Arabidopsis thaliana: one gene and its partner. The protein of the gene in region 1 interacts with the protein of each later gene in a biochemical or structural test. Each region holds a gene or a part of one and is shown in the gene's direction. Other genes may lie near its edges.

What was found. The genes of interacting proteins can lie anywhere in the genome.
Region 2: of the proteins of AT3G13670 (region 1) and CRY2, one has a biochemical effect on the other in vitro, tested with the Arabidopsis thaliana proteins (one study listed by BioGRID).

Annotation. Positions count from the first base shown.
Region 1 is NC_003074.8:4,466,924-4,474,512, forward strand, and holds AT3G13670 (Protein kinase family protein), read left to right. Parts: upstream 1-2,229; 5' UTR 2,230-2,510; coding exon 2,511-2,894; intron 2,895-2,999; coding exon 3,000-3,128; intron 3,129-3,237; coding exon 3,238-3,311; intron 3,312-3,428; coding exon 3,429-3,498; intron 3,499-3,587; coding exon 3,588-3,643; intron 3,644-3,867; coding exon 3,868-3,939; intron 3,940-4,089; coding exon 4,090-4,184; intron 4,185-4,256; coding exon 4,257-4,323; intron 4,324-4,411; coding exon 4,412-4,541; intron 4,542-4,628; coding exon 4,629-4,847; intron 4,848-4,943; coding exon 4,944-5,086; intron 5,087-5,241; coding exon 5,242-5,416; intron 5,417-5,503; coding exon 5,504-5,594; intron 5,595-5,638; exon of another isoform or gene 5,639-5,703; coding exon 5,704-5,861; exon of another isoform or gene 5,862-5,964; coding exon 5,965-6,153; exon of another isoform or gene 6,154-6,251; coding exon 6,252-6,311; 3' UTR 6,312-6,617; downstream 6,618-7,589. Other genes in the region: AT3G13662 (Disease resistance-responsive (dirigent-like protein) family protein), read left to right, coding at 167-682, 1,542-1,547; AT3G13672 (TRAF-like superfamily protein), read right to left, coding at 6,618-7,250, 7,322-7,420.
Region 2 is NC_003070.9:1,184,625-1,191,034, reverse strand, and holds CRY2 (cryptochrome 2), read left to right. Parts: upstream 1-2,338; 5' UTR 2,339-2,848; intron 2,849-2,961; exon of another isoform or gene 2,962-3,028; 5' UTR 3,029-3,133; coding exon 3,134-3,446; intron 3,447-3,550; coding exon 3,551-3,775; intron 3,776-3,870; coding exon 3,871-4,583; intron 4,584-4,728; coding exon 4,729-5,316; 3' UTR 5,317-5,523; downstream 5,524-6,410. Other genes in the region: c-NAD-MDH1 (Lactate/malate dehydrogenase family protein), read left to right, coding at 130-288, 395-570, 728-1,005, 1,095-1,230, 1,323-1,434, 1,523-1,617.

The DNA of each region.
Region 1 (7,589 bases):
ATTGTGTGTTTTAACTGATCACAACTCACAATATCCAATGGATCAATCATATTTTATGGAGAAATCTCAAAAGAAAACGTGCCTTATTTCATCTCTATTTATACACACACAAAACACTCGTTTATTTATAGCACAAACCTTCATCTAGAGACACAAAAACCACAACATGACTAACCTCATCCTTATCTTCGCCGCACAAATCCTCCTTTTCTATGCCGTTGCTTCCGTCGGAGATGAATTGGGAAGAACCATGAACGGGAAACACCTTGGCCCTTACAAAAAGGAGAAACTCACTCATCTCCGAGTCTATTGGCACAACTCTGTAAACGGTAGAAACCCTAGCTCCGTGATGATCCAACAGCCGGTCTTGAACTCTTCCTTATCCGGATCGATCACCATGATGGACGATCCACTAACATTCGATGTGCCAAGGAATGCGACTGTGGTGGGCCAAGCCCAAGGGATGTACGTAGCAGCGGCCCAAGGAGAGATAGGCTTCTTGATGGTGATGAACTTTGCTTTCACTACGGGGAAGTACAATGGGAGTACGATAACGATTCTTGGGCGGAACGTGGTGATGTCGAAGGTTAGGGAAATGCCGGTGGTCGGAGGTAGTGGAATCTTTCGATTTGCTAGAGGTTATGTCGAGGCTCGCACCAAGTCGTTTGATCTCAAGGCCGGTGTTGCCAATCTACATATACATTTTTGCAGCCATTTTAACAAATAAATCTTAGAGTTGAACTTATTTACAACCCAATGCCATTAGCATTAAATTTTTTTTTCAAAATAATTAATTTTACATTAAATTCTTAATTTAAATTGTCAATCACATTATCAATCAAATTTAATCCAAACAAACTGCACATCAATCCTTTAAAATTAGCATAAAAGTATTTTGTTAACAATATTTTAAAACAAAGTTTTTTGTTTAAATAAATATTGTTCTTACTAAACGTTTTTTGTTTAAATAAACAAATCATGTATTTGAACTTATTTACAATGTCATGCTACTGACATTAATTATTCAGGCATGAAAATATTTAATTAAAGATTTAAATCTTCTAAATTCTTGCTTTTAGAATTATTATATCATTACCTAAAAGGCAAAAAATATTAATTTTTTAATTATTATTATTTATATATTTAAAATTCATAAAACACTATTAATATTTAAATTTATAAAAAGTTTAATATATCAAAAAAATTAACATCATTATATAATATATAGAGTTTAAAAAATCTCAAAAAAAAAATCGTCATATTTTGTGATTCAAAATTTTAAGAATGAACATATATTAACTAATTGGCGAAAAATGTATGGATTCAACGTCCCGCAACGAATAAAATATTTTGACAATGATTCATAAATATATTATAAATAAGATCAACATTAATAAAATAAATAAATTTTTTTTGTGGACGGGTTTGGCGGGACGAGTTTGACAGGATGTTACTTAGTAACAATTGTAAACTATAAAATAATTTACAAATTTTTACATATATTAATTTTAAAAAATGAATTGTCTCCGCGGTGAATCTAGTGTTGAATATAATTGTTATATTCTGCATTACTGAAATAATTAAGTTTGGAATATTGTTCATTTGATTTCATTACTTATTTGTTTTTATGTCTCGTTTTGTTATGAGAGTGTTATTGTCTTTTCCCAAGTTAAATAATGTATTTTATCTTGTAATGGTTTGATTTTATTCATCTAAAAAATAAATAAATAAGTAGTTGTTTATATATACATTAAACATACATTTTTTGGTCAAATTAAGTGGCACAAAGGCTCTACTCCGCGTTAATTTGGAAAATCATCAACTGATTAGCGAATAAATTATTTGAAATTTTGATAGAAAATAAATGTTCAAATAAATATAATGATTAGTTAGCCCAATCACGAGCTAATCAAACCTTAAAAAAAAAACACCAAATCAAACCTATTTATTGTCTAAAACCAATTTTGATATTACACGGAGAAATTAAATAATACATTTAGCTACTTTTTTGTTTGAAATAGAAAAGACATTCAAAATAGTAAACATATAAAACCATTGTAAGAAAAGAAATCAAATTTTTTATTTCTTAACAAAAACGTGAAACGTTTGTTTCCAAATTAGTCGCAAGTCACGGACCGTGTGACGCAAAAAAAGTCCATTCACATCATTATTACATAATTTTTGTCATAAGGAAAATTAATTTGATTTTTCCAAATTTTTTTGGTTCTTCCTCTTCAGAATATCTGACGTGGCATAAATATCGCCTTTTTCACATCGCCTGTCTTCTTTTCTCTCTCCATTTTGGGAACTTTCATCCATAAACTTCTATTTTTCTCATCGCAAACTTGAACCGTCGTAACCCTAAATCGCCATCTTCATCATCGGCAAATCGAATCTCCGATTATATATCAAATAGCTTACCAAATCCGACATGACCCAGGCCCTCGTTTTCGGAGGACTATAATGATCGGACTCTTCGTGTCCCGTCTCGATTGCATGGGGTTTGAGCTATGCCGGAGCTTCGCCGTGGAGTCCGCCGTGGCCGTGTTACTGATGCTGTAGCTCCCAATCAGCTTCCGCAAACACCTACAGAAAAGAAACCGAAGAAGAGTACCGTTAAAGCTCCAAAACCGGTTGCCGGCGGAGTTACAGGAGTTGCAGAGAGGCCGAGGACTAGATTAGCGGCGAGGAAATTAAAGGAGGAAGATAAAGAGATACCTCAGGAGATTCCGGTTGTTGTGCCGTCTAAGGATAGCGATATCGATAAAAACAAGGGTAAAGAGGTAGTCGTTGAAGAAGAGAAGAAAGATATGGCTATTGGTAATGATAGTGGTGGCTCTAACAAGGCGGCTGCTCAGGAAGAAGAAGGAAATACTGCTCCTTTCCCTGAGAGGGTATAATTGATTTGCATAGTTTTTGTGTTGTTTGGGGTTATTGAACTTTTCATTGTAGGCTTGCTTATCATCTTTCTATGGTAATGACTAACGATTCCGTATCAGGTTCAAGTTGGAGGATCACCACTATATAAAGTTGAGAGAAAGCTGGGGAAGGGTGGTTTTGGACAAGTATTTGTCGGACGTCGTATTAGTGGCGGTAATGATCGTAGTGCAGGAGCTAGCATCTTGGAGGTAATATAACTCAGTCTGCGTTTACTGCTGTGGAGGATTGTCACCATAAATATCATTCTATTAGCTTAGTTATGCTTACAGTGTCTCACATCTTCACTTTCTTATATAGGTTGCTCTAAAGTTTGAGCATAGGAGCAGCAAGGGTTGCAACTATGGTCCTCCACATGAGTGGCAGGTTTACAAGTGGGTGTTTCGATTCTCCTGTCTTTCTTTCAATGTTTCTTAAATTCATTTACCTGGATTGTAGGTGCTTCCTTGACTTGAAATGTGAAATTGACATTTTACTTTTATTGTGAACAGCACCTTGGGTGGTAGCCATGGAGTCCCTAGAGTACATTTCAAAGGCAGGCAAGGAGACTATTATGTCATGGTACTGGATTCCCCCTTTCTCCTATTTCTGTTTTTTTCTCCTGTCTGTATCATTGAAGTTAGATCCTCTCTTCTTTGTTTTGGCCTCAGGTTATGGACATGCTTGGGCCTAGCTTATGGGATTTATGGAATACTTCAGGGCAAGCGTGAGTCTCCATTACACATCCTTGGGGAGCTCTTGTCTCTTTTTCAATTAGCGTTGTTTCCATACATGAGTATCCTAAGTTAATTTGGATTCTTTTGGAATTGTGACTTGAAATGTGGTGTTACTCCCTGTTTTTAAAAAAATACATAAGTCCATACTGAGTAACATTTTGCTTTTAAAAAATCGACTTCCCTAACAATTCTTCTCCCCCTTTTTGCTTTGCAGAATGTCCTCGGAAATGGTAGCTTGCATTGCGGTTGAATCACTTTCCATCCTTGAAAAGATGCATGCAAAAGGGTTTGTAATTGAACTTTATTTTTGTTTTTGTATTTAATTAGGTTGTCCGAGGTTTCTTCTGATATCCTGTTTGGAGTCTCGGCACCTCTAAGTTCTTATGTTTTCTCTCTATTAACTAGCCTAACAGGTCATGTTTTACTTCGGTTTCAGTTATGTGCATGGGGATGTTAAGCCAGAAAATTTCTTACTCGGCCAGCCTTCAACGTCTCAAGAGAAAAAACTGTTTCTTGTTGATTTGGGACTAGGTTGATTTCATTCTCTTTGTTATTCTTGCTAGGTTCTTCTTTACCTTTCTCATTTTTCAACCAACTTTTCAGCTACAAAGTGGAGAGAAGGTGGTAGCGGACAACATGTTGAATATGATCAACGTCCTGATATGTTTAGGTAATATATTTTCTACTGTTACCTAATATAATTTGTTTTATACTCGCTCTTACCTTTTGTTGAATCTCTCTCTTCTTAATTTTTATAGAGGGACAGTTAGATACGCAAGTGCACATGCTCATTTAGGGAGAACTGCTAGCAGAAGGGATGATCTGGAATCATTAGCATATACACTGATCTTTCTTCACCGAGGTAGATTGCCATGGCAAGGATATCAGGTACTGCAGACCTATCATTTTGTTTTGTAGAATCATGTTGTTGCATGATTCTTTCTCTGCTAATCCTGTCTCTTACTCAATTTTCAGGGAGATAACAAGTCATTCCTTGTTTGCAAAAAGAAGATGGCAACATCGCCGGATATGCTTTGTTGTTTTTGTCCCCCTCCTTTCAAACAATTTCTTGAGATCGTGGTAAATATGAAATTTGATGAAGAACCCAACTATGGAAAGTTAGTATCTCTGTTTCAAGACCTCTTGGGCGAAAATCCGGCAATTAGGCCTATAAACACAGAGGGTGCTCAAAAGGTGACATTTTCATGCTGTATATCTTTCCCTTTCGTTCCTATTTGGATATCTAGGAGTTGTTGTTTAACATCTTGTAATTGTTTTCTTTTGTGCTAGATCATATTCCAAGTTGGCCAGAAGCGAGGTAGGTTGAGCATTGGGGAGGAAGAAGAAGATGCCCCTAGGAAAAAGGTCCGTCTAGGAGTCCCTGCAACGCAATGGATATCGATTTACAATGCCAGGCAACCAATGAAGCAGAGGTAAAAAAATTCATGGTTAATTATTTATACAGTCAGTTAACTGCTGGGACTGCGTTTGTGTCTCATTTTTTCTCTTGGTTATATTATAATCTTGGATTTTTGGCCTTAATGTGTCTAAAACTATTTTTGGACTCACAATTTATGTGTTTAACCAGGTATCATTATAATGTGGCTGATATAAGACTGGCACAGCATATTGAGAGAGGTATTGCAGATGGTTTGTTGATAAGCTGTGTATCATCATGTTCGAATCTCTGGGCATTGATAATGGATGCTGGAACTGGCTTCACGCACCAAGTCTATGAACTCTCTCCTGTATTCTTGCACAAGGTTGTCTGATGTTTCTCTGTTAGTTATTTTTATATCTGTGTTCTGTCAAGATGATCTTACCTGAGAGTGAATTCTGTTTTGAATCAGGAATGGATTATGGAGCAGTGGGAGAAGAACTACTACATTAGTTCTATTGCTGGTGCAAGCAATGGAAGCTCCTTAGTTGTCATGTCAAAAGGTATCTACACTTTTCATGAATACTTTTGAACACTTTCGTCATTATGGTATTTTACTAGTCTCTGAATTTGTGGCTTATTCTATGTTTGGTTTTCAAATGAATTATGAAGGTACGCAGTATACACAGCAGTCTTACAAAGTAAGCGATTCATTCCCGTTCAAGTGGATAAACAAGAAATGGAGAGAAGGCTTCCATGTAACCTCAATGGCAACAGCTGGAAATCGATGGGGTGTTGTTATGTCCCGCAATTCTGGCTACAGTGAACAGGTTAGACTTCACCGATATAGATGAATTTCTTCCGTTTCCTTCAGTTTTGGATCTGTCGCGTTGATTTCTAATTCTCCTGTTTTCGCTTATATCTCCTCTACAGGTTGTGGAACTTGATTTTCTGTATCCAAGTGAAGGCATCCACAGGCGTTGGGATGGTGGATTCAGAATCACATCAACAGCAGCCACAACCGATCAAGCTGCTCTCATCCTAAGCATCCCACGTCGTAGACTTGTTGATGAGACACAAGAGACGTTACGTACCTCTCAATTCCCCAGCACACACGTCAAGGTGAGTAGAGCAGCTATAAAAGATTACTAATCAATATCTTGAACTCTTTTTCTCCCTTCCCATGAACAATACCGGAGATGCAATTTTCTGTTGTGCAGGAAAAATGGGGAAAGAATCTCTACCTTGCATCGTTAAGCTATGGCCGAACTGTATCTTGAGACTTATTAGTAAAAACTGTTGAAGGACGAGAGAAATATGTTTCTAAGTCTCGGCTCCTATTCCTTATCCAACCCTATGGCCTCTCAGGCTCTGTTGTGCTTCTTCTTTTTTTTCAGTTGAATTGTGAAGCAAAAATGTGGTGATTGTGTTGTTTATTCCCCCCTTGTGAAGGGGATTGAGCCATAATCACCAGTTTACCTACACATTTCCCTCGAAATTGCTATATTTAATTTTTAAATCAAGAAAAGATATTTTTGTCACCAAATATTCTATAGTTGTCCAATTCTGTAACCTAATTATCGAATTCATATCGAAACAGGCTGTTCTCTCCATACACGACCTGAAACCTTCAACTTCAGCTCCTTGTCGGTGGTGTTGTTGTCGGTAGAGAAGAACAAAGCCAATTTGCGAGTGATGATTAAGCCATCTTGACTATCACGAACCGTCTTGTGACTGTCACGAATGCTCCTCGGCACGCCTTGCCATGTCAGCTTTCTGCCATTCCCTCCGACCTGCAAACTATAGCTGAAGCTCATTGCCTCTTCTTCATCTCCCATAAACTGCATGAAGGCCATGTACATTGGTGTTTTCCTCAGGTGAAACGCTTCGAAGTACAAGCAGAATTTTCGACCACAACAATCGAGAAGCTGCATCGTTTCAAGTGGGTTAAAACTTAAAAATTCACAAAGTTGCAGAAACAGAGCAAGATAATCAGTTATATAACTTACTGTTAACATCCAAGTAGCATGATGAAGATGTTTAGGATCATGATGAACATATCTGTGACTGAAACTACGCCCATCACTCATTTCAACATTGTGATCATTCCTTAGATGCAGTAGTAGCCTTTGAATATCTCCTGTGACATCACACTTGGCTCCTGAGTGTGGACAATTGTACGGTTTCTTCTTAGGGTTTTCGATGTGGTCGTTGGGACACTGCAATAGGATCTGTATATTACTTGTTGTGTTCTTATTGTAGTAGTATCAATATGATATGATATACATACCTCGTAGATTGCAGAGGATATCTGGTTTGTATGAACCGGAAAATCGAGCAACTCATGAACCCGAGATTCCACCTGAAGGTCATTGATTCGAGGTTCCATTTCGCAGGAATTAATGAATTCACAAGCCAAGTGATGAAGTGAAAGAGGAGAAAGGTGTACGTTTGTACATATGTACATACAATCAACCACATAGATACGTTTACGTTGTGTCAAGTTTCAACGTCCAATAATTGGAGACAACGTGGAGTAAATGGTGGATATAGGAGTT
Region 2 (6,410 bases), on another chromosome or scaffold:
TTTAGTAAAAGTTATTTCATGGATCGAACTCTGATTTAGAAACCGTTGTTTATATAGTTGGATAGAGTTTAAGTTGTGACTTTAGATCTCCTCAGCTACTGAAAGTAACTATTGATTGTGATTATGCAGGACAAATCGGATATGCTCTTGTACCTATGATTGCAAGGGGTATCATGCTTGGTGCTGACCAACCTGTTATCCTCCACATGTTGGATATTCCTCCAGCTGCTGAAGCTTTGAACGGTGTTAAGATGGAGTTGATCGATGCTGCTTTCCCTCTTCTTAAAGGTAGTTAAGGGTTTTGTTTTGCTGTGGATATTTGCATTCCGTGTCATAAGTTGTTTTGTATAAGTGGGAAAGGAGAAGATGAATATTTGATGTGTATTATTATCAGGTGTTGTTGCTACAACTGATGCCGTTGAGGGATGTACTGGAGTCAATGTTGCTGTTATGGTTGGTGGTTTCCCGAGGAAAGAAGGTATGGAGAGGAAGGATGTGATGTCCAAGAATGTTTCCATCTACAAGTCTCAGGCTGCTGCCTTGGAGAAGCATGCCGCTCCTAACTGCAAGGTGATACGATCTGTTTGCTTTTTAAGTTAAATGAAGCCACTGCATCCAATCTTCTCTGTTCATTGGAGTGTAACAGATGCTTTGTGTTCTCTATTGGGTTCTAGTTTACGACTCTCTTGCTCACACATTCGCTCTCGTTTTGTCTTTTTTTTTTCAGGTTCTTGTTGTGGCCAACCCGGCAAACACCAACGCATTGATCCTCAAGGAATTTGCACCATCAATCCCTGAAAAGAACATCTCTTGTTTGACAAGGCTTGACCACAACAGGGCTTTGGGACAGATCTCTGAGAGGTTGAGCGTGCCAGTGTCTGATGTTAAGAACGTGATCATCTGGGGAAACCACTCATCCTCACAGTACCCAGATGTCAACCATGCTAAAGTGCAGACCTCGTCTGGAGAGAAGCCTGTCCGTGAGCTCGTCAAGGACGATGCATGGTATGTATAACATGCCATAGAACTTAAGACCCTTTCTCTTCTCTGGAAGCAAAATCTAGTTTCACTTAAATATATTGCTCATTCTGTAGGTTGGACGGAGAATTTATCTCTACAGTTCAACAACGTGGAGCTGCAATCATCAAGGCGAGGAAGTTGTCTAGTGCGCTCTCTGCTGCTAGCTCTGCTTGTGACCACATCCGTGACTGGGTCCTTGGAACTCCAGAGGTTCATAATAAAACTCTTCCCCGTTATTTGCAGTGCTGTTTTTTTGTAACAGTTAATCTAATATGAGTTCTTTCTTTGATTCAAATTGTCAGGGTACGTTCGTTTCCATGGGAGTATACTCCGATGGCTCTTACAGCGTTCCATCAGGACTTATCTACTCCTTCCCTGTAACTTGTCGCAATGGAGACTGGAGTATTGTCCAAGGTAAATATGACGCACTTACAAACTCAAATGCTCATCAATTATGAAATCCTAGATTCTGCAGACCCTAATGTGTATTTTGTTTGGTTAGGCCTTCCGATTGATGAAGTATCAAGGAAGAAGATGGATTTGACTGCAGAGGAGCTCAAGGAAGAGAAGGACTTGGCGTACTCATGCCTCTCTTAAACCCTTCTGGAGCAAAATTTTCATCTATAAGGTGTGAGATCAGTTAAAGCCTTTCAGGGCTTTGTCCGAATAAGAAGTGTGTTTGAAAGATCTCCAAACACTGTTTTATAACCTCTTTGGTCTCTTTGATGAGTATTGTCCCTGGTCTGTTTCTAAACCAGGATATCGTTTTTTTCAATGTGTCTGATTTGGTTTACCCATGAAAAGAAGAAAATTGGCAGTTGCATGGTTATCTTTTGCGATTATTTTTTTCTGCTTTAGCAATTAGCCCAAAATTGATGAGCTCTTCGATAATGGGTTTGTGCAATTGTGATTTGTGAGGAATGGTGTTATTGTGTTGCAATTGCAAAAAGAAATGCTACTCTTGCAGATTCATACCAAAACCAAATCACTAGATTAAACTGAAATTCTAATGTGGATTATTTTAATTTTACTTCTATTTTTCTTCACCCAAATATTTTATAACCAAACACCAAGTTGACACCAAAATATACATCCAAAAAACTTAGATTGCTTCTATTTTACGACTATCCGAAATCGAATCATAAACCGTAGGCAATGGTCCATTAATAAGGGGTATACGAGGATTCAAAGTTTGAGAGAACTTTTTTATCTTTACCTTTTTCCTTTTGTAAAGTAAAAGCAGTGGATTTTGATTATAGATTCTACTTGGTAATGACTAATGAGAATCAAGTTCTCACCTTTAAGCCATATAGACTTTAGATATTTAATGGATTCTACAAAAGTGGGCATGACCAGAATCGAGTTCATGAACCACCGTCCTCGGCCCCAACGTTAAAAAACTTTTTTCTCTAGCATAAGAAGATAAGAGTATCTTCACTGCGCTTTAGGCCCACTCAACATTCAAACAAAATTCGATCTCTTATAAAAAAATATCTCACAAGAGAAAGTTCGTACATGATCCCGATAAAATCGTAGATGAGCAAATCAAAGATGAGATGTCGGTAAAAAAAACGCTATTATAAGAACACACGCCACTAGTTGTGGATAAAGTTGTCTACTTTTGTCTCGTTGTGATTATTATATTGCACAATTATTAACATTCATACTCTCATATGGGTATTGTTTTTGGTCTCCGTTAGATCTCAAATCTTTAACTTTGCATACCCAAAATAGGAAGAAAGAAGAGTCAAGTCACTAAAATAACTTTCACAGTCTTTGATTCGAAGATCTTTGTCGCCGAGAGATATCCACTCTGATTTGAGTTCTGGTAAAAAGTTTCCAGCTTTTGATTTTTGTTTCTCTCAATTGAATTTCTCTTGCTTGCTCTGTTTAAAAGGATTAGGATTAAATCGAATCTCTCTCTGTTATGTTTTTTTGTAGATTATTTTGGATTTTAGGACTCAAAGATTACAGATTTCTTATCAATCATTCTCTGTTATTGTTATAGAACTATTCTCTGGAGGAGGTTGAGGTCTGAAATCATGGAACAACTTGGTTAGAGTGTGGAATTTTAGCTGATTTGATCTTTGATTCATCTGTGATCATAATAACTATGAAGATGGACAAAAAGACTATAGTTTGGTTTAGAAGAGACCTAAGGATTGAGGATAATCCTGCATTAGCAGCAGCTGCTCACGAAGGATCTGTTTTTCCTGTCTTCATTTGGTGTCCTGAAGAAGAAGGACAGTTTTATCCTGGAAGAGCTTCAAGATGGTGGATGAAACAATCACTTGCTCACTTATCTCAATCCTTGAAGGCTCTTGGATCTGACCTCACTTTAATCAAAACCCACAACACGATTTCAGCGATCTTGGATTGTATCCGCGTTACCGGTGCTACAAAAGTCGTCTTTAACCACCTCTATGGTATATACTCTTTCATCTCTTATTCAAAGGATATATATTCTTATTAAGTTAGTGTAGTCTAAGTGCAACTGAGGTTGATGCGATCACGTTTTTCTTTGTTGTAGATCCTGTTTCGTTAGTTCGGGACCATACCGTAAAGGAGAAGCTGGTGGAACGTGGGATCTCTGTGCAAAGCTACAATGGAGATCTATTGTATGAACCGTGGGAGATATACTGCGAAAAGGGCAAACCTTTTACGAGTTTCAATTCTTACTGGAAGAAATGCTTAGATATGTCGATTGAATCCGTTATGCTTCCTCCTCCTTGGCGGTTGATGCCAATAACTGCAGGTAAAACCTTAAAGAGTATTACTTAAAAGCTAAAACGTTTTTGATTTCTTCAGGACATAAGCGGTAGTAAAAGTTTATGGCTTTTTCTTTGTTAGCGGCTGAAGCGATTTGGGCGTGTTCGATTGAAGAACTAGGGCTGGAGAATGAGGCCGAGAAACCGAGCAATGCGTTGTTAACTAGAGCTTGGTCTCCAGGATGGAGCAATGCTGATAAGTTACTAAATGAGTTCATCGAGAAGCAGTTGATAGATTATGCAAAGAACAGCAAGAAAGTTGTTGGGAATTCTACTTCACTACTTTCTCCGTATCTCCATTTCGGGGAAATAAGCGTCAGACACGTTTTCCAGTGTGCCCGGATGAAACAAATTATATGGGCAAGAGATAAGAACAGTGAAGGAGAAGAAAGTGCAGATCTTTTTCTTAGGGGAATCGGTTTAAGAGAGTATTCTCGGTATATATGTTTCAACTTCCCGTTTACTCACGAGCAATCGTTGTTGAGTCATCTTCGGTTTTTCCCTTGGGATGCTGATGTTGATAAGTTCAAGGCCTGGAGACAAGGCAGGACCGGTTATCCGTTGGTGGATGCCGGAATGAGAGAGCTTTGGGCTACCGGATGGATGCATAACAGAATAAGAGTGATTGTTTCAAGCTTTGCTGTGAAGTTTCTTCTCCTTCCATGGAAATGGGGAATGAAGTATTTCTGGGATACACTTTTGGATGCTGATTTGGAATGTGACATCCTTGGCTGGCAGTATATCTCTGGGAGTATCCCCGATGGCCACGAGCTTGATCGCTTGGACAATCCCGCGGTAAACTACAAAACTTGTCTTATAGTTTAGAATTCAAAGCTTAATACCAGTTTTTGCTATGCATTCGTTTTTTATTTTATTTTTCAGCTTATTTGGTTTGGTTGATTTAGTTCTGAAGTCTATGAAAACTCTGTTTTTATTTCAGTTACAAGGCGCCAAATATGACCCAGAAGGTGAGTACATAAGGCAATGGCTTCCCGAGCTTGCGAGATTGCCAACTGAATGGATCCATCATCCATGGGACGCTCCTTTAACCGTACTCAAAGCTTCTGGTGTGGAACTCGGAACAAACTATGCGAAACCCATTGTAGACATCGACACAGCTCGTGAGCTACTAGCTAAAGCTATTTCAAGAACCCGTGAAGCACAGATCATGATCGGAGCAGCACCTGATGAGATTGTAGCAGATAGCTTCGAGGCCTTAGGGGCTAATACCATTAAAGAACCTGGTCTTTGCCCATCTGTGTCTTCTAATGACCAACAAGTACCTTCGGCTGTTCGTTACAACGGGTCAAAGAGAGTGAAACCTGAGGAAGAAGAAGAGAGAGACATGAAGAAATCTAGGGGATTCGATGAAAGGGAGTTGTTTTCGACTGCTGAATCTTCTTCTTCTTCGAGTGTGTTTTTCGTTTCGCAGTCTTGCTCGTTGGCATCAGAAGGGAAGAATCTGGAAGGTATTCAAGATTCATCTGATCAGATTACTACAAGTTTGGGAAAAAATGGTTGCAAATGATCAAAATAATGTGCTGTTATAAAGCCTAACATGTAGATGTGTGAATGTGTCTTTTAACTCTTTGTTTCCTTTTGGTTATACTCAAAAGGATATGATTGCATAAACATATAATGCTGATATTATTTCAATTGGCTATGAATAAAATATACATATTTGTTTAGTCTTTGAATTTGTTTCATCTGAGTTGTTTAGTTTGAGGAAAAAGATAACGGCCAATTTATATTTCTTTATAAAGAAAAGAAAGGAAATCTCGATACACGACGTTTTTATATGAAACAAATGCAGTTGGAAATAAAAGTAACAAATCATTGGTCTAAAAACCCCAATGAAAAATAGTAACTAAATGACTGAATACTACGGTAAGATTTTTTTAATTTCTATAAAAATATAAGATTTTTTTTGATGATTAAAATATTTTTTTATAATCAATTACAAATAATTATCATATCTTGAAAACAACAAGAATTTTTTTGATATAATAAAAATATTAAATTAAATTACAAAAATAAACGATACTAGAATTATATTTCATTGAAATTTCTTATATATATATATAGCTGATATTTTAATACAATTATTAATTTATGATATTGATGGGACTATATGTTTACATAGGATTTTCAAAAAAAAAATATTTTATTAATTTATCGATTTGTATCGCTTTTTACACTAGTCCCAAATACTGAAAGAATTTATTATTTTATAAAAATGATTAATTTATCGAATATTAATTTATAAAGGTTTTACTGTACTTGCATGGCACAACAACGAGAAAAAGTCCACGCGATAAAGCTTCAATGTCAGGAATCATCAGGCGTCGAAATGTTTGACAATGGCATCGGTTTCGTCCAGAGAGGAGTCGACGGGGCCTGGATGAGGGTCGACGTAATCGGAATTGTCGTGGAAAAGAGAGTAGAAGCAAGATCCGATTCGGATAACGTCTTCTTTACTATCAGTTTTGGTTCGTAACCATTATTTTTAATCATCAACCCCTCGAGTCACATCGGTGATGTCTCCGTCTACGAGGAGAAAAATGAAGAGACGATGAAAAGAAAGAGATGATTGCTATATAGGGGGTTCAAATGATAATTATA